3 linked regions of the Elephas maximus indicus genome follow. The protein of the gene in region 1 interacts with the protein of each later gene in a biochemical or structural test. Links are inferred from orthologs where the notes say so. Each region holds a gene or a part of one and is shown in the gene's direction. Other genes may lie near its edges.

The links. The genes of interacting proteins can lie anywhere in the genome.
Region 2: the proteins of LRRK1 (region 1) and FGFR2 form a complex in vitro, tested with the Homo sapiens proteins (2 studies listed by BioGRID and IntAct, with this or other methods). The link is inferred for Elephas maximus indicus from reciprocal best matches to the Homo sapiens genes LRRK1 and FGFR2.
Region 3: the proteins of LRRK1 (region 1) and FLT4 form a complex in vitro, tested with the Homo sapiens proteins (2 studies listed by BioGRID and IntAct, with this or other methods). The link is inferred for Elephas maximus indicus from reciprocal best matches to the Homo sapiens genes LRRK1 and FLT4.

The regions. Positions count from the first base shown.
Region 1 is NC_064831.1:92,684,041-92,691,805, forward strand, and holds the start of LRRK1 (leucine-rich repeat serine/threonine-protein kinase 1), read left to right. Parts: upstream 1-4,671; 5' UTR 4,672-4,761; intron 4,762-5,108; exon of another isoform or gene 5,109-5,398; intron 5,399-7,765.
Region 2 is NC_064834.1:71,983,100-71,991,064, reverse strand, and holds the start of FGFR2 (fibroblast growth factor receptor 2), read left to right. Parts: upstream 1-4,959; 5' UTR 4,960-5,552; intron 5,553-7,965. UniProt on the Homo sapiens protein: Tyrosine-protein kinase that acts as a cell-surface receptor for fibroblast growth factors and plays an essential role in the regulation of cell proliferation, differentiation, migration and apoptosis, and in the regulation of embryonic development.
Region 3 is NC_064820.1:203,123,031-203,130,507, reverse strand, and holds the start of FLT4 (vascular endothelial growth factor receptor 3), read left to right. Parts: upstream 1-4,471; 5' UTR 4,472-4,527; coding exon 4,528-4,585; intron 4,586-7,477. UniProt on the Homo sapiens protein: Tyrosine-protein kinase that acts as a cell-surface receptor for VEGFC and VEGFD, and plays an essential role in adult lymphangiogenesis and in the development of the vascular network and the cardiovascular system during embryonic development.

The DNA.
Region 1 (7,765 bases):
CAGGGCACTGTTAACAGGAAGTGGTACTTGCAGTGGCCAGCAGCTCCTGAAAAATGTGTTGCTGAATCTGACTCTAGTAAGAATTTGGAAAAACTCCCTGCATGTTCCGCCAGCAGAGCCCTGCACCTACGGTCTCCTCAGGTTCACCTGTCCACAGAACAAGCCTCTCTTTCTGGGGGAGGGCTGACGGTACCATGCAGTGGGAAAAGCATTAACACTAAGTTAAAAAAAAAAAAAAGGCTGCAAGGATCTGATGGGCGGAGATTTGGGGGTTGTGGGCATGTGTGGGTGAGGGTCTTTGAGGTCTGCATATTTAGTGACCACGGCACTCAGCTTATAAAAACAATACTGCCTTTGGAATCTGACCAAATCGTAGCCCAAAGAGCATATTCTAAAAATGTGTCATTGTCTATCTTAACCAAGGCACTTTCTTAGGCAAAAAAAAAAAAAAGTTCTATCGCCTTTGCTGCTAAGGAGCCAACGCTCTGACCCTCCAACAGCACAGCGAATCCCCCGGTAATTAAGTTCCACATTTTACAAACACACCAAAGCAATAATTCATTTTAGGAATTCTGCCTTTCTACTACACTCCTTAATGGTTTATGATAAGCCTACATACTTATCCTTTTTCCAGTTCTGTTACCCGGTTTAGATTAGGAAAACATACGGAACTGGAAAGACGACTGTCATAATATAGACCTGCTTTTTCAAAGTCCTATTTTGATGTTAATTTCTGAGTAATTAACAGATAAGACATGGGCTCCCTGGAGGACCTGGGTCTCCTACTAAATCCAAGTGGTCTGAGTACTTTATAACAGGTTGTGAAGTTTTCTTTTCCTCTTTGTGTATCCAAAGGGTGTGCAATCCCATCAACTTTGACTTGGAAAACGGAAGGTGTTTCCATAGAGCTTTAAAAAAACAAAACCAAACTTAAATTGTGTTATTCGGACACTGTTACTGTTACTAACTAGTCATTTTCTAATGGGAAAAATGGTGCTTGTGCTTGACAATTCATTGGCGTGAGCACAGTGATAAGATGAAGCTCCATGTCACAACCTGTGTGTATAAAGAAAATCACGCAGGAAATGGGGTTATCATCCTCGTGAGCAATATGCAATGTGTACTTCACCTTCTCTCCATCAGTTAACACTTACATTAACAATTCACTTGTTAGGTCAGGATTAGACTTCTTACACTGAATCGTCAGGATTTTATCTCAACTAACTATAGACACTAACCTCGATAGTAATGCCTTGGAGGTTCTTTTTCTTCCATTGTACAATAATGCCTTTAATATGAAACTCTACATTAATTACGATTGGTATAGGGTCGCTATGAGTTGCAATCGACTTGACACCAATGGGTTTTGGTATAGTTAATTATATCTTTTTATAGCTGTAAGTACACAGAGGTGGTATATTTAACCTTCTGTAATATACTGTATTTAGAAATGGAAATCTATATCCTGTTTGATTTCACTTTTTTAAAGGTTTACCACTGTGGTATGGTTTAAAAATGTATCAGCCTGGAAATTCGGCTCCTACCTACAGATTGAGCTCAACAATGCAACAATGATAAAATAAACTTAGGTATTTGAGAAACATTATGTTGTGTTTTGTTCTGTTTTCATTTGAGAACTCAATCCCTTTTAATTCTGTGGCTGACCCCTCTTTCCTGGGTCTTCTGTACAAAATGTCTTGTAACAAAGCAGGGTCAGTAACTGAGGCTACAAGTCCCCTTGCTCAATCGATCAGGCCTAGTGCTTTGCCTGAGCGTGAAACCCATTCCTATCGGTTTTGGAGTCAACCAGGCAGGGAGCCTGGCTTCACTGTCTCTCTGTCTTAATTGGCTAACTTTAGACTGGTCACCTGAGCTGCCCGAGTCTCTTTTTAGTATAAAGTGATGAGGACATTTGCCATGAGTGTGGAAAGTGGTGGGGAAGATCACAAGAGAAATTTAGTGAAAATACCATGTCCCCAGTTGTGTGTCTAAGTGTCTGTTTTTATCACTTTCTTCACAAGGATCTAGGTGCTTGTGTTTAATTTACCTAACGTTTCTAAGACTTCTAACCAAGAAGCCTCAATCACCAAGTCATGAGCTGTCACTGAAGTTGGATCAAGAACACTCCTTGTACTTGGTTAGGTCCCCTGAGCTCAGCCTGTACACATAATGTTGAAAATCTAAATCACTCTTGCCGTGTGTTGACAAAGCACAGCTCCTTTAAGAGAAAACGAATCTGATCCCTCTTAAAATACATATGCATTTAGAAATATCCCGCTTCTCAATCCAGGTGTGAGCAGAAAATTATGGTAAAATGACATTTTATTTCATTTTGGTTTACCAGTGTATTGCTCCCTGAAGAGAACCATCCTGGGGACAATAGGTGGGCCATGGTGCATGTGTGTGCACTTGTGTGCCTGTGGGATGAGTGAGGGGGAGGCACGTTCTCTAACAGTGGCCCCTTTGGTGTACCCTTGCTCCTCCTGATGGTATCTGAAGCCTTTTGAATGTCCTTGCTCTTACCCATATGGCTAACTTGAGTTTGAAGGTGACCGGGACAGTGAGGGACATTTTTTTAAAAGCATCCATGGAGAAACATCTGAGGAAACTGAGTACCACACTGAAGAAACATAGCTAGAAGACATGGAGGGAACAGCCTGCCACTGTGCCTTCAGAAGGCAGAAACCGAAGTTTCTGGAGGCAGCTTCCGGCTGACCCACCTTAGGCGGGCCATTCCATTCTGAGGTGCTGAAAATCTGGGTAGGATGCTGAGTACAAGCTAGAGGACATGGGCCAGTGGGATCCAAGAAGAAGCCAAAAGGAATCTTAACTGACCTGTAATAGCCTTCTATGGGAACCTATGACTCATGCCTAATGCATAGAGTTGAGTTGAATGCCAGGATATAACTAGCTCAAAATAGGATATCTGAGTGTCAAATGTCAGCTGCTTTTCATGTTGGGACCATTTTTTAGCCTGTCTCCAAGCTCATTTAACAGGGAAGTTGAGTGGACCCTGCAGGTGTTGGCAGGGTGGATTACCTAATAGGCAAGGTAAGCACAGTATTTATCTTTCTTACCAGACCATCTGTAGTGAACAATTTCTCATGGGTTTCACCATATCTTTGATTGTTCACTACAGATTAGTAAGTAAACACAAGTAAACTGGTGCTTACCTTGCTTACTGGGTCATCCGACCCTGTCAGGGACTGTAAATTTGAAAAGAGGTTTTGATTCTGTGGGAAGGTGCTATGGTGTTGAAAGAGGGACAGATGCCAGCCATACCTGGAAGCAGAAACTTTGATGTGGTGAAAAAATGTGAAATAATCCTCCCCTGGTTTTTTTTTTGGGGGGGGGTGTTGGTCCAGTCCGCTCCAGGGTCACCAGCTAGGATCGTGCGCTTCATCACTGCGTCGCTAGGTGGCGGGGCCTCGCCGGGGAGGCGCCTCCCCGCCTACGCCGGGCTCACTCAGCACAGCGCACGCCAAGTCCTGCAAATTATTAGGGACTTTTCGGTGGCAGTCATACTGATGACCTAGCATATGATACTAAGACCCCAGTGGTGGGGATAGAATTGCAAAACTGAAAAGGCGCCGCGTGGCCGTCAGTTCTGAAGGCAGTCTCCGGAGAGCAGAGCAAAGCTGACCAGTGGTTCCCTCGCCAACCAGGGGCCCCCACCAGCCGCTATAAGGGACCACTACGCGGGGTGTCCGTCACGTCGAGCCAGGGCCCTATGGCTGCTCCGGTTTCTGTGAAATGGCAGCGAGGGTCGTAGCCGTTTATCGTTGCGCTTTGCGCTAAATCCTGGGAATGTTCCCATCATTACATTACATGAGAGGAGCCTATGGGGCTGGCCCTTACAGGGCGTCCATTGATAGGTTTTTCTGAGCGGGCTTCTCTGCCCTCAGTGAACACGCAGAGCCTGATCTGAAGCCTGCGTTGGCGTATGAGCCTCAATGGTGTGACGGACATCCTTACGTTAGGGTGAAAGAAAGTTGTCGTTATTCCACCACGTTTTACCTACAAACAAAATAAGCCATTAAAAACGATCCATCAAATAGTTGTGTGTTTGCATACATCCGTAATTAAATCAGTTAAATTCATGTAGGAGAGGAGCAGTTTGCAAAATATTAAAGCTTACAAAATACTCATCTTTGCCCTGTAGAAGGGATGTACACAAGGGAATTTCCGTATTTTTCATATTTACTGCCAGAGAATATGGCCAACACGCAAGTTAGAGTTAATTCGCCGATTTGGGTGCAGAGCAGAGTAGAGGGACAGGGCAAGCTGGGTGAAGCCGAGAACTAATTTTCTCTTCGCCTTCCCGCGTGCACCAGCGGACTCGGAGGAGGACTCCACCCTAGAAGGCTCCCCGGAGCCTGTCACCTTCCCGGGGCAGGGAGTAAGAAATTTGGCCACCTAGGTTTAACGACTAGGGAAACTGAGGCGGGGCACCCCGGGGCGCCTCGTCCCCACACCGTGAGAGCCAGCAGCGCCCAGACCCTGGGCGCGCGGCAGCCTCTCCCTGCGCGCCTTTTGCGCCGCCGACGCCCGCCCGCCGGCCCGCCCTCCCGCCGCCCGCCCCAGCGCCCTCCGCAGGATTGAGGAAGTGCGTCTGGTCCCGGCGCGGCCGAGGCGCGGGGGCTGGAGACGGTCGGACCTCCAGGCCCAGGCCCCCTAGTCTCCTCCTGGCTGCCCCGGGCGCCCCAGCCCCGCGTCCGGAACGACCGCGTCCCTCCTTTCCGCCGGCCGCTGCCGCCGCAGGTAAGCACTGCCCGGGCCCGCGCCGCCGCCCGCCCAGGGACCTAGCCGCCTCCTGCAGCCCGGCGGGGACCCGAGAGCCGGCTCCCACTCGCCCTGGCCCGTGCTCGGGCCTCTGCCTGCTTCTGTGCCCCTGGCCCCGCAGCCCGGCCCTGCGACCCAGGCGGCATCGTGGTCGAGGAGCGGGACACGGAGGCGCGGGCGAACCCCCATCTCTCGGCCCCGCGGCCTCCAGTGCGCGCGGACCCAAGCCAGCCCTCGGGGTGGGAGTGTGCGAAGCCCTGCACCGGACAGCACCAGGGCGGACGGAGCAGCGGCAAGAAACAAAAGTAGGAAATTGCGCCAGGGTGTATCCACGTTTCCTCTGCCTTTGAAGGAAACCTTCTACAGCTTGGAGCGGGGAATTTGTGTGTGCGCGCGCGTGTGCTTGTGAGGGCGTGTGCGCAGGGAAGGGGCTGTCCCAGGACTCTCTCTTCCTAGCCGCGGCCTCAGTGATGCGGGTTGGCTCAGCGCGCCTTCACCCACCACAAAGTCGGGGGCATTCTTCTTGCCCAAGGGTTGCGTCTCTGGCCAGATACCGATTAAATCCGCTTTCTCTGTGGGCTTGGGCAACCTCCCCAAGCGTGCTGGGGTCGGCGAGGTGAGTGTGACCCGGGGGTGCAGGTGTTAGGGAGGGTGCTGGGGGTTGGAGAGAGATGATGATGGAGAAGATGAAAGATAGGTGGTCAGCCAAACCTACCCCTTAGCCTAGTGAGGCCCACACCAAGGTTTTCTCCCACAAACTTTCAAAGTGTGGCGTCTGCAGGGGTCTGAGAGGTGGAGAAATCAGGAGCGTGGAGCTACGTTCTTAGCCAGCCCCTCACCAAACGATTAGACGATTTTTAGAGTTTCCCACTCACATGGTATCAAAGTTAATGCTGTCAGTAGATGTCATGTAGTTGATTTCAACTCCTAGCAACCCATGTGACAAAGTAGAACTGCCCATAGGATTTTCTAGGCTGTAATCTTTATGAACACAGACGACCAGGTCCTTTTTTTCCTGGAGCATATGGGTGTGTTCGAACTGCTAATGTCTCGGTTAGCAGGTTAGCAGCCAAGCACTTAACTATTGTGCCACGAGGACTCTTGTTGGTATCAAAGTATGAGGATCCTAAAGAGACAACTAGAATATGCATGATTTTGGGAAATGTTAAAGTTAAAGTCTTCATTATATTATTTTCATTATCTTTGCTTATGTCCTAGAACAAAAAAAAAAATTACTGAGTTGATAACATACAAACCCCACACTTAATATGTCCCTAAAACAGGTCTTGGGATGAGCCAAACCTTTCCATCTCCTGGGGAAGGCCCCATAGCTCAGTTGCTCAGAGGGAAGCCTAGGAATTAACCCTGGGAACATCCCATTCCCTTGTCCCCGGGATTCTTCCCGTTAGCAAGTCCTGCTGGGTCTACCTCCAAAGTGTGTCCTGGGTCTATCCGCTTCTTTCTCACACACCCTCCACTCTAGTCCAAGGTGTCAGGATCTCTTGTAAGATTCTTGAGTGATTTCCGTGATAGCTACATCTGATCATGTCACTATGTGCATGGAACCCTGTAGCGCCTTCTTCTTGTGATTGGTATAAAATCCAGAGGAACTCCTTCCTCTCACCGCTCCCCCACTGTGTGCTCCGGCCACTGCCATCGATGTTATCCCCCCAACCTCTGCCGCCCCGTCCACCCTGGTGGCGCTTGTTTGCCAGCATGAGGCATGGACATTGCTGTTCCCTGACTTCACGTGGCTGACACCTCAGGAGGCCTTAGAAGGCCTTCCCCGGCCACCCTCTACACCCCTCCTCAGTCTCTCTTCCATCCCATCTCTGTGTTCTTATGCCCACCACTATCTGCGTATACCTTCTTTATCTCTTCAATTTCTTCTTTAATTAGCGGGCTCCTGAGGTCAGAGACCATGTCTGTCTTGCAAACCACCGTGTCCCCAGCTCCCAGGACTGTTCTTGGCGTAGGAGATGCCCAGTGCATACTGGGGAGTGACCAGATGGTTAATGTTGTTGTTGTTATTCGTTGCCCCAGAGACAGCTCCGATTCACGGCAACCCCATGTACAACAGAACGAAACGTGGCCCTGCCCTACACCATCTTCGTGATCGTTGGTATTGAGTCCGTGGTTGCAGCCAATGTGTATTTTGAGTCTCTTTGAACCTAGGGAGCTCACCTTCCAGCAACTTCATTGGCTAATTTTTAGAAATAGATATCCAGGCCTTTCTTCCTAGTCGGTCTTAGTCTGGAAGTACTGCTGAAATGTGTCTACGATGAGTGGCCATGCTGGTATTTGAAATACTGGTGGCATTGCTTCTAGCGTCATAACAACATGCAGGTCACCACAGACAAACTGACAGATGGGTGGTGGAAATGATGAATGACACCAGCCTTCACTAACTGGTGGTTTGGGACTCAAGAAGTGCCTCTGTTGTCAAATCCTTGGGTGCTCATTTGGGATCGAGAGCTATATGCTCCTCCAGCCTGCAGATCCATGGTTATTTTGATATTCACAAACCTGTCAGATACATTTTGCAGGCAGACCAATATTGGTAAAGGGATCCTAGAACCATAGACCAGCCTTCTTGACCAGCCTACTACTATCAATTCAAAAAGAAGCTAGACTACAGGAACATTTCGAATATACTTCATTTGCCAGTGTCTTCCCACTCTTTGGTAAAGTCCCTGAGTCGCCCAAATAGTAAGCGCTCAGCTACCAACCTAAAGGTTTGCAGTTTGAGTCCACCCAGAGGTGCCTCAGAAGAAAGGCCTGGCCATCCCCTTGTGAAAAATCAGCCATTGAGAACCCTGTGAGCACAGTTCCACTCTGACACACCTGGGGTCGCCATGAGTCAGGGTCAAATCCACAGCAACTGGGTTTTATTTCACTGTCTTCCCTTTACATTAACTGTAAGTTTCGAGAACTCATGAAGTCGACTCCTCACAGAGAAGGGTTACTAACTATTTGTAGAATG
Region 2 (7,965 bases), on another chromosome or scaffold:
TAACGGCAATAATGACTCTAACTTGCTCTTCTTGGAGCACTTGAGGAAACAGAAATGGGCTGGGTAAATTTTGGGAGGGATATTAATATTTTGGGAGTCAATGAATTCTACTCAGTTCCATACTAAGCTGAATAATTTAGAAAGTGTGGAATCCCTTGGCATGGGTGAGAGGGGTCAGCTTGCCCTGGTGGCCACTGGGATAAACCCCAGCTGGTCAGGAGAGCGGAATTTTGGGTCTCCCTGCCATTAACCAGCGGGGCGTCCTTGGGCCTGTCACATCCCCTCTGTGTGCCCGAAAATGTGGGGATCAAACTCCATGGGGTCTTTAGGCTTTAATAGTCGCTTCCTCACCTTTGGGCCCAATTGTCTTAGGAAGGCCTACCTGTGACAGTCAGAACACCTGGAAATCCATTAAACCTCATCACAGGGCATAATGGCATTTTTTATTCAGATGCTCCCCATGGATTTGCAGAAACTCTTTGACACTAATTGTGCTCACGAGTGTGAAACATGCAAAGCTACACAGTATCCCCCCCTCTGCCTCCATCGCCACCCAGGGACTGCCGCTGGGAAGGGCAACAGAGGGAACCGAGGAGCACTGCAATGCTTTCCATTTCAACAGCCATTTGTAGGACTCAGATGGCCTGCCCAGGACATGTTTCATCATTTCATCACAGTTGAGTCTTGGGTAGGCACCGCCAGGCCTTTTGATGGGGGAGCTGTGGAATTTAGCAGCCAAAATGACTCAAGGCTATGTTAAACCCAAGCCCGTATTAATACTCAGGTATTGTGGTGCTAAGGAGCCCTGGTGGCATGGTGGTTAAAGCGCTTGGCTGCTAACTGAAAAGTCAGAGGTTCGCACCCAACAGTTACTCCGCGGGAGTAAAATGCGGCAGTCTGCTTCTGTAAAGGTTACAGCCTTGGAAACCCTACGTGGCAGCTCTACTCTGTCCTGTAGGGTTGCCATGAGTCGGAATCAACTTGACGGCAATTTTTTTTTTTCTAGATTGTGGCTCTACAGGTTAAGCTATTTCCTTTAACCCTCCCAATAGTCCTAGGAGGGTTCTCCACGAGTCAGAACTGACTGGCAGGCACACGGTGACAACAATAACAATAATCATAAGTAACGCTTACATAGCTAGCAATTCCCATGTGCCAGGCACTGTTCTGCTTGTCACCTCCTAAGGCATTTAATCCTTTTAGTAATCCTATGTCATTTACCAGGATCCCTGGTGGCGCAGTGGTTAGGCACTCGGCTGCTAACTGAAAGGTCCGCCATTCGAACCCATCAACCACTCTGTGGAGGAAAGATGTGGCAGTCTGTTTAAACAAAGGTTTACAGCCTTAGAAACACTATGGGGCAGTTCTACTCTGCCCTGCAGGGTCACTATGACCTCAAATTGACGGAACAGCAATGGGTTTTTAATGCAATTTATCAGTATCAGTTGCTGGGGAGTCAGTTCCAATGTGTGGCTACCCCTTGTGTGTCAGAGTAGAACTGTGCTCCGTAGGGTTTTCAATAGCTGTGACCTTTCAGAAGAAGAGTGCCAGGCCTTTCTTCTGAAGTGCCTCTGGGCAGACTTGAACCTTCGGCCTTTCCGTTAGCAGCAGAGCAATCACATTGACCGTGTGCACCACCCAGGTTGATCCCCCTGTGAGATAGCTGCCATTCTTTTGATCAATTTACAGACAAGAAAACAGAAGACTCAGAGATCGTAACTTGCCCAAAGTCACACAGCTATTGAGTGACCAGATCCACAACTTGACTGTGGAATCAAAGCCTTGTATCCCCTCAATTTAGGGTAGCAATGCTCCCTCACCTGAAGGTGAGGAGATACTTCCAGAAGGACTTTCTCTCCAGGTAAGTCTCAGCTTTGAAATTCAGGCCCAATTCTAAGTTCAGAATCATTGGTGAGGTTCAGTGGTGGATCCATGATTTTGCTTCCGTTAAATGCCACAGGCTCCCTGAAAATGGGTGCTTGCTGTCTGGGGATTCGGCCTCTCCCCTCACCTCCAGGAGTAAGTACTCTTAGCATGGTCCTTAGACTATTCAGTACTCATTCCTACTGCTTTGTCTACGCTATGCACATTATTGACCTTTTCCTGACCTAACTTTTCTGTAGGGCGAAGGAACAGCCACCCATCCAAAAAACATATTATGAAAAGAAAAATCCCAAATCTTTGAAGAAGAAAGGCCTGTGGCAGTGAAGGTCTCCACCCCTTCCTCTTTTCTCTTCCCATAACCAACGGGCTTGAAGCACAATTTGTTTCTAGAAACTTCTGGGGCATCGGAGTTCTAGTGTCCTCATTTTTCTTCCTTCCCATTGATGTATCATTACTAGAGTAAAAAAAAGAAGGGCGTCTCGAGGGCTTTTTGGGGGGGAAAAAAAAAGAGTGCCTACTGAAGACATTTTGTAAAGGGGGGAAAATTGGGAAGAAAAGAAGCCTCAGTAGGGGGTGGAGGGCAGTGAATGTGGCCTTGTCTGATGGTTCTTTCAGCTGAAACCTGGTGCTGGCGCTCCTTGTTCAGTTCAAACTGTCACCTTTAGTTCTTGATGGCTTTTCTGCCCTCGTCCCTGAACCTCAACAGATTGGGGCTTATTTACCTATTCACACTCCGCCGTGGTAGCTCATTAATAGGCTTATTAGCAACACCATTCATGGGAGGCCATTGACAAAAGGGGCTCCAGCCACTCAAGAGGGAAGAGAAAAAACTGTAAAGAGATTATTTTCTCATTCAGAAGCCTCGCTGGTGTGAAAGCTTTCCTAGACCCTCTGAGGTCACTTGAAGTCTAAATTTGATGACAGAATTGATTAAAAAAAAAAAATAGTAATAAAACATTCCAAACATGCTTCTACTTTTCTCAAAACTGAAGCGTTTGCTGCAGTGGGCTTGTGGCTTCACTCACTTAAAAAGGAGCACTCTTGAGGGAATAAGGGGCTTTTGATGGATGGGTGTCTTTTCATCCCTATGAAGAATAAATTCTGGAAACTGCGTCTGGATGTTAAAGAAGGTGTTCTTATTTGTTATTTTCAGCGGAAGGCTTCCTTCCCATTCAGAGAACATAAAGCTATTGATGAATGAGAGATACGGACTTGGGTTTCCTGCACCATTAATTTATGTGAGAATGTGTGAACAGCATTTTCGGTGGCTGATGGATACCGTACAGGATGAGACAGGAATCTGCCCTGAGACACTCGGGTTTCCCGTTGGTGGGGAACATAAAGATGTAAGTGACGACCTCCCAGCAGACTGACATTCAGAGGTGACCCTAGGTCTGAGAGCTTGAAAACATTTTGGTATGGACAGAACAACCTAGATGGGAATGAGTGGCTGAGGGACACCTGGCTGAGGCGTCATTGAATTCAAAGATTCAGGGACTGATCCAGGTTAGAGGACTTGATTAAAAGCATATCCGTCTGGGGCAGTTCTACTCTGTCCTATAGGGTCGCTATGAGTCGGAATCGACTCGACAGCAGCGGGTTTTTTGTTTCCTCCCTCTCAGCAATGGGCTGATAATTCCGTCTGAGACTCAGACTCTAGTTTTTGCTGCCAAATTTCCAAAGTATAATTTCAGAGCTGTTTGCCTCAATCAGTGGTTAAGAGCTCTGCCTGCTAACCAAAAAGTCGGCAGTTCGAATCTACCAGTCACTCCTTGGATACCCTACAGGGCAGTTCTACTCTACAGGGTTGCTATGAGTTGGAATCGCCTCACATGGCCATGGGTTTAGTTTTTGGTTTTGCCTGAATCATTTAATGGATTTGCACTCTTTCCTGGCTTTTAAGTAATTTGTATGAAAGGTTTCTACGATGTATTGCAAATAAAAAAAGATTTCCTAATAAGGTGGCACCTTGGAAAAATATTTTCATAAATGTTGCAAAGAATACAGTGTTCAGGAACTACGTGCAACTCTGTTTCTAAATGCAGGCAAAGTCGGTTTTCCGGGTCAGCGTGGCACTCACTGCTCCGTTTGTCTGTCTTTAGGCCTCAGAAGCCTTCTTAAGTCACTTCTTGGTTTAACGACCTTTCCTAAAGAAAGATAATTAAGGTTTTTTTATCTGTATTGCCTTGAACTTAGGCAGACTGCCTAGGAGCTGGCTAAGTGAGGAGGGAGAGAAAGTACAGTAAAAAAGAAATGAGCCTGTGGACACAGCTTAGTGAAAAAGGTAGAGTGGAAATAGGAACTTGAAAGCGTATCAGATACAACTCCCTGGTTTTGCAGTCAGAGAATCTAAGATCCACAGAAAAGAACTGATTTTCTGAAGGTCCAAAAGCTATTTGTGGCAGAGTTGACTTTTTAGAATTTTAAAAATGTTTTAGTAACCCAAATATACATTACAAAACAATTTGTTGTTGTCGCAGTTTTTCACTTTTTTAAAAAGGGCCACGTTCAAAGTCAGCTCTGCCTGGAACCAGCTGTGTGACCCTGGGCAAATTACTTAACCTCTCTGATGTTCAGTTTCCTTTCCAGAAATTGGGAATATTGCTCTGCAGAGGGGTTGTGCCGATTAAACAGAATAACTTATTCAGAACTCCTGGCACATGGTGGGGCCTCCATAAAATATTAGGTTTTCCCCCTCACTTCTATGGTATTGAAGGCCAGGGGAAAAAAAAAAAGCAACCCCCTACAAAATTTCCAAGTTGTCTCACCTTCTTCAAAAGTTTCATTTGCATTAAATTTCTCCTCCCAATAGCACGCCTACGCATTTCAAAGTTCCTTTAAGGGTAGAGCAGGTAATCTGTGATTTGTTTTCTGACTTGAAACAAAACAACGTCACCCAGGCACCTAGTAAAACGTTGGTCAGTTGACCTCCCAAGGGAAGGGAAGGAGGCGGTGGCGCAGGTTGGGGGAGACCGGCCTTGTTACTGGAGGATAGAGTTGCATCTCCCCGTCCAGATCGCGCCCGGGCCCCTTGCCTGCCCGGCCGGGGTCTCCCGGCCGCTCCAAGGCGTCGGGGGCCGCTCAGGGCTCGGCGCGGCCCCAGTGCGCCGCGCTGATTGGCAGAGCTGGCGCCGCCGTCCAGGAAACGGCTCGGGTTTCAGCGGGGGCGTGACCCGCCGGAGGAGGCGGTGGCGCGGGCGGCGGCGGCGGCGGTGGAGAGCGCAGAGCGCCGCGGAGAGCTGAGCGGCGGCGGGTGCGGAGCGCGGAGCGGGCGGCGGCCGCACAAAGCTCGGGGCCGCGGGGCTGCATGCGGCGGACCCGGCCTGGCGCCGCAACTCCTCTCCAGGCCGGCGGGGCCCGGAGGCCGCAGCTCCCGTGCGCGCTCTCCCCTCTCGCAAGTGGCGAGCAAAGTTTGGTGGCGGAGACGCCGAGCCGGAGTCCTTTCTTCCTCTCGCTCCCCAAACCCGAGCGCAGCCGCGGGCGTCATGCCCGCGCTACTCCGCAGCCCCGGGTGCGCGTGAAGCCCAAGCCCCTGCACTGCCAAGGATCCAAGGACGACACTCGGCTGGAGTTTCCACCGAGGGACCCCCGAGCTCGGCGCTCCCTCCATCCCGACCCACGCCGGCCGCGGGGACAGGACCGATCGCGGAGCCGCGTTGCCATTCAAGGTAATCGCTGAGCGGGACAGAGCGGGACGCCTCGCCAGCGGGACAGGGGCGTCGTGGGGGCCCGGGACGCCGGGCCACTGACCTCTGGGGGAAGGCGCGGGAGAATGCCACTGGGAAGAGGGCCCCTGGCCTCCCTCTTGCTGCTTAGGTGATGGGGAAGGTGGGTGCGTGCTCGCGGCTGGCGTTTGGGAAGTCCTGCCTCCACCACCCCCGTCCAGATGCTCACATCTGCTTCTTGGGTTGACACCCCTTCTCCGTCAAATTCCGCTGGCTCAGCCCACCGTTCCTCCGACCCCTGAGCGGGTGGGCGGCGGGGCTGGTTGCTGGTGGCACAGCCCCGCAGGCGGGGCGCCCTGCGGGGCACCTTTGGGGTGCTTCATCCCTGGGCCTGGGGAGCGCCCGTCCCATTCCATCTAAGCTCCGTCGGTGGACCCTTACCCGGGAGGGAGCCGCTGGGGTGGGACCGCCGACATCCCGGTTGCCATCCCCTAGTGATGGCGATGCCGGGTGGGGGGCATCTTTGGGGAGGAGCACTGTTCGGGTTCCCAGATTTCGTAGTACGCGGCCGCCGCCGGCGCTGGAGCCCGGGCAGGCGGCGAGGGCTGGAGGGAGCGCGGCGCCCGGGGCTAGGGGGCGGGCTGCACCGACTTTTCCCGGCTCGCCCGCCCTGCAGCCGCTCGCAGATGTCGAAAGCGCCGGCGAGTTCTGACTTGCGCGCTCATTCTTCCAGAGGCGGGGCTCGCTGGGGAGCCGGCCGCGGGCTCTGCGAGGCGCCGGCCCGACCACTGCGGCCCGCGGGGCCGAGCGCAGGCTGCGCTCTGCGGAACGGAGCCGGCCCGGGCGGACAAGCCACCGCGCGCCGCGCAGACTGCCCGCTCGCAAACTCCTCCAGCCCATCCTTCTTGCCCGATTCAATGAACCTACTCTTCCCGGCGAACCTGCTTTCAAACTCGGGGCACCCATTATGTGTTTGGTGTGAAATGCTATCAACATTTAAAACCCCATTGTCCCCCTGGTCCCAAATCCCTGTAAATCTTCCACCGGTCTCGACTCATTTTCATCTGAAAAGCCTGTTTAGTTTGAATAGAAAAGCAATCAGGCGCCCCTCTCCCAGGAATGTCAATTAAAATGCAGATTTTTTCAGCTTTTTAGCGCGGAGGACTGGGAAGAAAAACGGGATATTCTAGCAAATTGATGAAAGAAATGCTACCATGAAGTGGGGTGGTGATGGTGAGGAGTACCCCCAAACTGCCCTCAAGATCTCGGTGGCTTGCAAGTGTTCACAGGGCGGGGACTGTTGTCCTGGGTCCACCCGTATTTATTTTTTGCGATTTCAGTGTGTTGAGGAATTTCCCCCCCGGACTTGACACCTTGGCTCCTGCCCTACTCAGCTCTGGGGTGTAGGGGGAGCAGTAAGGAGGCTTTGAGCCGGGAGGTGCGTGTGCCCCTTGGGGCAGCGGGGCATCCCCAACCTGGTGGAGCAGTGTCGACTTTCTAGATGTGAAATCTACCCAGGAGCCAAGCACCCAAGAGCCCAGTGTGGGTGACCAGCAGTGGACAGAAGGGCCAGTCCACTAAGCCGGGCCCTGGCATTGGCCGTCCTTCTTGGAGGGCAGGGGTTTGGGACTGTTGTGGGAAGTTTGGGAGCTGAGCGCTGGCCTGGGGACTACTCCCGTGGTTCCTTTCTCCCCAGTGGTCTCTTTGCCTGTCTTTGGGGCCGGCTCGTGCTGAGGGGAGAATCGACCGGGAGAGCGGGTGGCCGCGAAGACCCATCCGTCAGAGGGAGAGTGACAACTCCTCCCGCGTGCAGGCTGAGAAGACAGTTCCCTTTCAAGGGGAAAAATAAACACGCCGGGGCTTTCACTGGGGCTCAGGCTCCAGGAAGGATTATGGTATTGTAGGCAGGAAACTGGATTGTGGCCGCCAGCGGCATGCTGGGCCTGTGTTCCCAACTCCGAGCTCGGGACCTAATTATCCCGCGTAGGGGGCCGCTCTGTATTTTTGTCCACTCGGGTGCGGAGCTGCTCGGACCTGCCGCCCCAGGCCGCCACTTTGTCGGGATTTGGGGAGGGGCTCCTGTGGGGCCTGGACCTGGAACTGCGGAAGTGCAGGGTTCTGGTGGAAACATGGGCTGAGTGAATGGCTTTAGGTTTGGTGGAGGGCACTGCCAACCTTTCCCTGCCCAGAGCTAAGGAGACTTCTCGGAGGGAGGGGCAGATGGGCAAGGCGGCTGGGGGAGCAACCGGAGCGCGGGCTCCTGTTAGGAGTCAAGAGTGTGGACAAACTTGTGTGAGAGGCAGAACATTCCCATGCGTTCTGGACTTGCTTAGTAAATCATTGAGTGTTTGTGTGCCTGCCTCCCACGTGCATGTAGGAATAGATGCAGAGTTATCTTTGGAGGCCTTAACTTTAA
Region 3 (7,477 bases), on another chromosome or scaffold:
GTACTCCTATTATCCACTTGTTGTTGCACTTCATAACGTCTCACATTTCTTTGAGGCTGTGTTCATTCTTCTTCATTCTTTTTTCTCTCTGTTCTTCAGATTGCATATCTATGGATCTAACCACAGGTTTGCTAATTCTTTCTCTTTCCCCTCTGTTGTTAACAGTAATTTCTGTTACTGTACTTCTCAGCTCCAGAATTTCCATTTGGTTCCTTTTTATAATATCCATCTTTTTGATATCCTCTATTTGATGAGACGTTGTCATCGTATCTTCCTTTATTTCTTTAAGTATGGTTTCCTTGAGTTCTTCGAACATACTTTTAATGACTACTTTGAAGTCTCAGTCTGTTAAATCTGACATCTAGTCACTCTCATGTGCAGTTTCTATTGTCTGATTTTTTTTTCCTGGTAATGGTTCAGACTTTCATGTTTCTTTGCATGTTTCATATTTTTTTGTTAGAACCTGGACATTTTAGATAATATATTGTAGCAATTCTGGGTACTGGTCTCCACTTGCCTCCATGGCTTGTTATTGTTATTTACTCATTTATTTATTTAGTGACTAGATAATTTTACTGAAGTCTATTGCCCTTTTCTGATGCTGCTTGTTGGAGGGCACAGCCTTGGCCATGAGCGCAGTCACTCTGGATGACAATGGTTTTGGCAGCATCTTCTCTGACTATCTCTCTCCCTGACAACACCCAGCTGTTAAATTCTACTAATTTCTGACTGGTTGCTCTATTATTTTCAACAATGTCCTGGGGCATAAAGAGCTCCACAGACTGATCCAATTAAATTTGGGTTCCTTAACAGGGTTAGTTTTTGAGGTGACTGTTTAAGTTTTGCTTTGACCCCAAGAGGGCTCTTCTTAGCTGTCTCTCTCTCTCTCTCTGGTAAACTTGCCAGCCTATGGTTTTGCTTATATCTCTAGCATGTCTACCAGTTTCGTCATTAACTGTTTTTTTACCATACCTCCATTGTTTTTGAAAGTGCCAAAATGCTAAACTTCCCCAATTTCTGTTGCATATGAACTCATTTCCTTTTGGCAGATCTTTGGAGCTCTCTGTTTTATGGCCTGCCTCTCTCACTGGGTAAAAATTTCTGAGCCGCAAAGCTGGAGCTGGGGGTGGGGACAGTGACGGTTTCTCTCCAAGTGGACCATCTGCCATAGGAGCAAAGTGCTCAGCCAAAAGAGGGGTTAGCTGTAGCCTCTGATCTTCTTTGCTTGTTTCTCGCAGAATGGAATCTCCACTTTACAAATGAGCCAGAATGAGAGCCCCTATTACTGTCAGCACACTGCGCCCCAGGTAGAGCCTCTGTCCCATGAGTGGGATCTGGATAAAAGAAGAGAGCTCCACCTCTCAGCTACACTTGCTTGGAACTTAGCCTCTGCAAGAGGTAGATAGGGGAGAAAGACTAATGTCCTGCCCCACTGGAAAGATACTGTAGCCCTGTGATTGGGAGCTGAGGTGAGGGCACCCTGCGTTCCTGGCTCCACCTATCTGGAATGGAGTTTCCATCACTCTGAGCTGAGAGGAGGAAGGGGGGAGCAGGTTGTGGTTCAAATGCCATAGACTCACTGCTCTCATTGAATTTAGGTAGATTTTCTTGAAAAAAATGTTTCTTCATTTCCTGTATTTCCTTAGGATCATTTCCAGAAGACATTAAATGTTGTTGTTGCTGTTGTTGTTTTAATAGTTTTCAACAGTTTCACTGGAAAACAGGTGTATGGAGCTCCTCACACCACCACGGAGAAGTGGAAACTATGCTACCATTTTTAATGTTGTTGTTGTGGTTAGCTGCCATTGATTTGGCCCCTGAATCATGGTAACCCCATATACAACCACACTAAACACAGCCCACTCCTGCACCATCCCCATGATTAGTTGTGGATCAGACTGTTGTGATCCACAGGGTTTTCACTGGCTGATTGTTGGAAGTAGTCTGTCAAGCCTTTCTTCCTAGTCTGTCTTAGTCTGGAAGCTCCATTAAAACCTGTTCAGTATCATAACACACAAACCTCCAAAGACAGATGGATGTGGCTGTGCCTGAGGTACATCAGCCAGGAATCAAACTGGGTCTCCTGAATGAAAGGTTCTACCACTGAACCACCAATAATCTCTACCATTTTTAATATGTTCCTATCATTTTTAGGTGTTACTGATGAAGTTTTTTAAAGTTGTGCCTGGTCCCTTTTTTTCCATATACTCTGTGGTTTTTATTGCATAATATTTTTATTATTTTTAGAAACCCGTATTGCACTACAGCAGAACAAACTAAACGCTGAAAGTAAGAAAATGTTAAAGATGGACTACATAAACAAAAATCAACAAAAAGCTGGTGTGGCTATAGTAATGTCAGACAACTAGACTTTAAGTTAAAATATATTACAAGAGATAAAAGTTGCAAGTATTCCATACAGATGAAAGGGTCATTTCAATAGGAATATATAACAATCCTAAATTTGTGTGCTCCTAAAAATATACATTCAAAATACATAAATGTATAAATCAATAGGAGGAGCTGCATAATCCCATTTTAAAGGGCATGGACCCAGAGGGAAGTAAAGGTGGGTGGCTATCTTTGCAATCTACCACATTAACAGAAGACAAAAAACAATTAATCAAACAAAACTCTATTTGATTAGTCCATAAAAATACATAAATACATAATAATATACTTTCAAAATACATAAAACAAAAATTAACAAAACTAAAAAAAGTTGATATATCCAAATTATAGTTAGAGTTTTAACATATTTCTTTCAGCAACTGACAGAACAAGAATACAAGAGAATTGAACAACATAATTAACCTACCTGACTTAAATGCCATATGAACAATGCTACACCAAACAGCCTTTTCAAGTACATTATTTCCAAGTATAAAGGTATGTTTACAAAGATGGAAAACATGCTGAGCCTAAAAGCAAGTCTGAACAAATTCCAAGGAAGTGGACTAAGAATACCTTCTCTGATCACAAAGTAAACTAGAAATCAACAATAACTCAAAATCTCCAAATATCTGTAAATTAAGAAATGTACTTCTAAATATGTTTTAAAACATACTTTTAAATAGGTCGAAAATGAAAATTGTATAAACCGAATCATAATGAAAACACGGCAAATTATTACAAAACATTATAGGTATAAATGAAAGAAAAACTAAATAAATTGTTGGATATAACAAATTCATGAATGGAAGATTCAAATTTTTTTAAGATTTCAGTTCCTCCAAAAGTAATTCAACCATTCAATGTAATTCCAATCAAACTTCTAGCAGAATTTTATTAATGAAAATTGACAAACTACTTATAAAATTAATATGCAAATGCAGAGTCAATAATAAGTAATTCTCTCTGGAAACGGAAGCACGATGTTCCCCCAAAAAAGGGAGTGAGAAGTAAGCCACGGAATGGGAGAAGGGATTTGTAGCACATTGTGGCCAAGTGTATTTTGGAATCCTGGCCTCAACAATATCTCTTAACCCACATGCTCTTCTGCAATGTGACCTTGCCTCTCCCTATCTAGAGTTGGGGAGCACGTCCCTTGGGCAGGCTTGTGACTACTTCATTGATCAATAAAGTATGCCAGAAGTGATGCTATATGACTTTCAAGGTTGGGTTACTAATATACCCAATTCTTCCTCTGCAGAGAGATGGTCCTGGTTTTCGGCAAGGAGGTGTGGACTTTTGGGGGGGCGGGGAATGGAAAAGTGGGAGTGAAGTAGAATTTAAAGCAGGGAAGGAAAGTTGAGATAGTCATTGTCATGGGATTTATTTTAAATTAGATTCTAGAGACAGAACCGAAAAGAGAAAGGAAGTCTGTGCGAGGGTTTCCAAGTCAGAGAGTTCAGTGTCACCTGATTAAAGGACTTACGGATGAGCTCAGAGAAAAAAATTCGGGGGAGACCTAAAGGGGTGCCCAGACCTGCAGGTTGGGGGTTAGTTACACCGGGTGCCTGACTCAATGGCACTGCCTCCACCTGCACCAAAGATGTAGTAAGGTAAAGTCTGCTAAACGGTTTCAAAGCTTTGACATTACTGCTGCTTTCAAGTCATATGTATTGCTTTTTTGCTTACTCTAGGGTAGTATCTTGACGGCAGTGGGTGGGAGGCATAGTATTTATTGCTTGAAAGAAATTACGTAATTACAAGTTTGTGAAATTGTAATGCGCTGCCACATTTTGTCCATCCTTTAACTGCCAGGCCTCATTCCCCTTTACGGCGCATAAAGAACAGTGGCCTTACCTGCACTCCCTGGCCGCAGCAGCCTCGGGGGGCTGAAGGGCGGCGGTGCTATGGGAAGTTGCGGAGCCCGCACGTCTCACTTCGACTGGATGTTCAGGCGGCTGAGACGCACCGAGAGGTGCGAGGGGCGGTCTGCGGCCCCCGGCCCCGCCCCGCTCGGCCCCACCCCGGCGCCGCGGTCCCGCCGGCCGCCCCGCCCACCCCCGCGCCCGGCCCACGCCTACACTCGGAGCCCTGAGCCGCGGCCGGCTGGTCGGACCCGCGCCGCAGCGGCCGGAGATGCAGCGAGGCACCGCTCTGTGCCTGCGCCTGTGGCTCTGCCTCGGACTCCTCCCAGGTGAGCACGAGGAGCCCGCTGCCAGCCTTCCAGAGTGCGGGGCGGTGGTAGGGGCAGGGGTACCTCCCGCCGGGGGCGAGTAGTGGGACCGCACCGACGGACTCAGAGGGGACAGGACTGCCCAGGAGGAAGCCCTAGAGAGCCTTGTGGAGGACGGGAGGGCGACAGGGTTGGCTGGGAGCCTGGAACACCGAGGGAGGCAGGGGCGGGAACCTGGGGTACCGACAGCGGACGGAGCGCCGGGGTCGGGGCGCTGGGACAGCCAGGATGAGGAAAGGGCGGGCGGGGACTGCAGCCGGGTCAGGGACCGGCAGCCGTGCTGCGCCGCTGCGCAGCGATCGCCCTTGGGCTCCCCCGCTTCCCCTGTCCGTGGCTCCCTCGGAGCCGTGTCCCGTCGCGTTGCATCCTCACCCTGGATCCCTCGTTCCCTTACTCGGTTCCCCGTGGAGTCCCGGCGCCGCACTGCTTGGCCCTGGCGACCCACGGGCACGGAGATGGCTCCCTGGGTGCCGCGGCGCCAATCCTGGCCGAGGCCCAGACCTGGGTGCGCACTTCCCGACGCCTCCCGTCTGTGCTCGAGATCAGTCCTGGGAGGCCCCCAAGAGGGCGCTCCGGACGGGCGTCCACCTTCCCCCCCGGCTAGGGAGGCTAGGGACTGCGGAGGCAGGGACTTTGGTAGCGTCGGGCGCCTGAGGCAGAGGCCGCCAGGCGAAGAGGGCGCAGGTGAGAGTTGGGATTTGAGGTAGGGTCACCGCCCAGAAAAGGCAGGCAGCCAGGCCTTCCTGGATTTGAGAGGGCAGGAGCCTTGAAGGCCGAGCCAATGAGCCTGGCTATTAAGGCACAGGCCTCCACAGAAGGGTCTTTAAGCACAGGAGAGGCAGAGGCGGTGTTGTTGGGTACATGACTCTGGCAGGGTGAGACCCAAACCAGAAGCTGCAGCTGTGGGATTGGAGAAAAGGGAGGTGGGGCGTGAGAGAGGGAGCAGAAGGGATATGGTTAGAGAAGAATTTAGAGGACAAGGGAGGATGAGCTGGAGTGCACACAGGAACTGGCAGTCTCTGAAAATCAAGGAATGCAGGAGGGGTCCCAGGCCCTGGTAGATGGGTAGGAGTACATGCGAGATACCAGAACCTCCTTATGTTGAACACTGTAGACATTAAATACCTGCTTTACATCTTTCATCACTTTTAATCCTTACAGGGAGTGTTAGACCTATTTTACAGATGGAGAAGGTCAGATCAAGGACATTATGAAACTCCCCCAAGGTCCCCAGGAAGCCAGTAGTAGGGAAGAACTGGTCTGTGGGAAAAGAGATCCCCTGCTGTCTGCTCACACACCTGTGCCTTCAGCAGCTGAGTGGCTGAGGACAGGGAGAGGAGGGAGGTGGGGAGAAGCCTAAGGGGGAGGCCATCTGTAGCCTCTGAGTCTGGGCAGGTCTGGGCATAGAGGCTACCCTGGGCCCTTCCCTCTTTCCCCTGCACCCTGCCCAGGACCAGGCTCTCACAGGTGCTCAGTATGTTTGTAGAGTGACTAAATGGAGGAGCAGGGGTGAATGGAGCCCTGGTTGGACTGCAGGGGTCAGGGTGTGAGACCCTATGTTGAGCAGATGTCTGAGAGGCAGCTGGGTGTAACATCTGAGGCTCAGGAAAGAGGCTGAGTTGGGGAGCCAGAGAGGAAGCAGAGCAAAGGGTCCAGGATCGGACCCTAGGGCAGGGGGCCAGAGGCAGTGGGGGCTTGCAGGGAGACAGGGATGAAACATTCATCCTAAGGAGAAGCAGGAAAGGCCAGAGTCGTGGTGCCACGGGGCAGAGCAGTCACAGAGCTAGAATTGCGGCCGTGGCAGATGCCTGAGGGAGTCAGACGGGGTGAGGATGGGACCAAGTGTCCTCTGGATTCAAATCAAGAATGTTGTACAATGGGCGGCACCAGCGTGGGTAGTTGAGGAGTGAGGGAGGTGAAGCGGGGCACCATACTGAGTGTGGCTGTGAAGCGAGGGGAGAGTGTCAGCTGGAGGGGCTCATGGAGGAAGGGTGGCCCAGCCTGGACCAGGGTGGGGCTGGTGGGGAGATGTCAATGGAGACCATCGCCAATGCCTTCCCTGAGCCCGCACCTTGCCCCACCAGATGTTAGGTGGAGGAGGACTGGAGCTCCTGGCCTAATGGGGGATGCTAAAGCTGAAGCATAAACCAGTTAAGTGTAGTCAAGCATCTAGGCAGCTAAGTGGGAGACGAGCAGCCAGCAGGTGAGAAACTGGGAACCCTGAAGCTGCCCCCTCAAAAGTGTGCTGTTGGTTCTAGAACCAGGCCTGCCCCTGAATTCCTTGCTGTGTGGTCTGGGGTCCTTCCTTGCACTCTCGCACCTCAGCTTCCCCGTGCACAGCTGCAAGTGCTAAGGGGCTATGGCTTGGGCTGTGACTTTCTGGCTAGATGTCCCCAGTCCAGTTCCATGAAGTCTTGCCCAGCAGTGTCCCTGTGGAGAGGGTTAGTGACAGTTGTCGTCCCCAAAAGGCTTAGTCTGTAGAAAGGCTGTTTGTGCCTCTGGCCAGTACAAACTGGGGAAGCAGGAGATTCCTGGGCTGGCCTAGCCAGTGAACAGCTCACCCTGCCTTGGACTGAGTCCATACATGACCATCCCAGCCCTCTGCTGCTCTGCTATTCAGCCCTGAACCAGACCCAGGTGTGTACAGGGATATGGAGATGAGTGGGGGACCCAGCCTGCTTTACGTGGCAACCAGGAAACTTCTGGCCCCAGCTCAGTGCTCTAGGGACTCAAATCCAGGTGCTGCTCATTTGCCCACCTGCCTGAAGCACAGAGTGAGTGTGGCTGCCCAGAGCACAGTGCTCACCCACATGGGCAGGCCCCAAGCAGGGTGTGTCTGACCGATGAACTCCC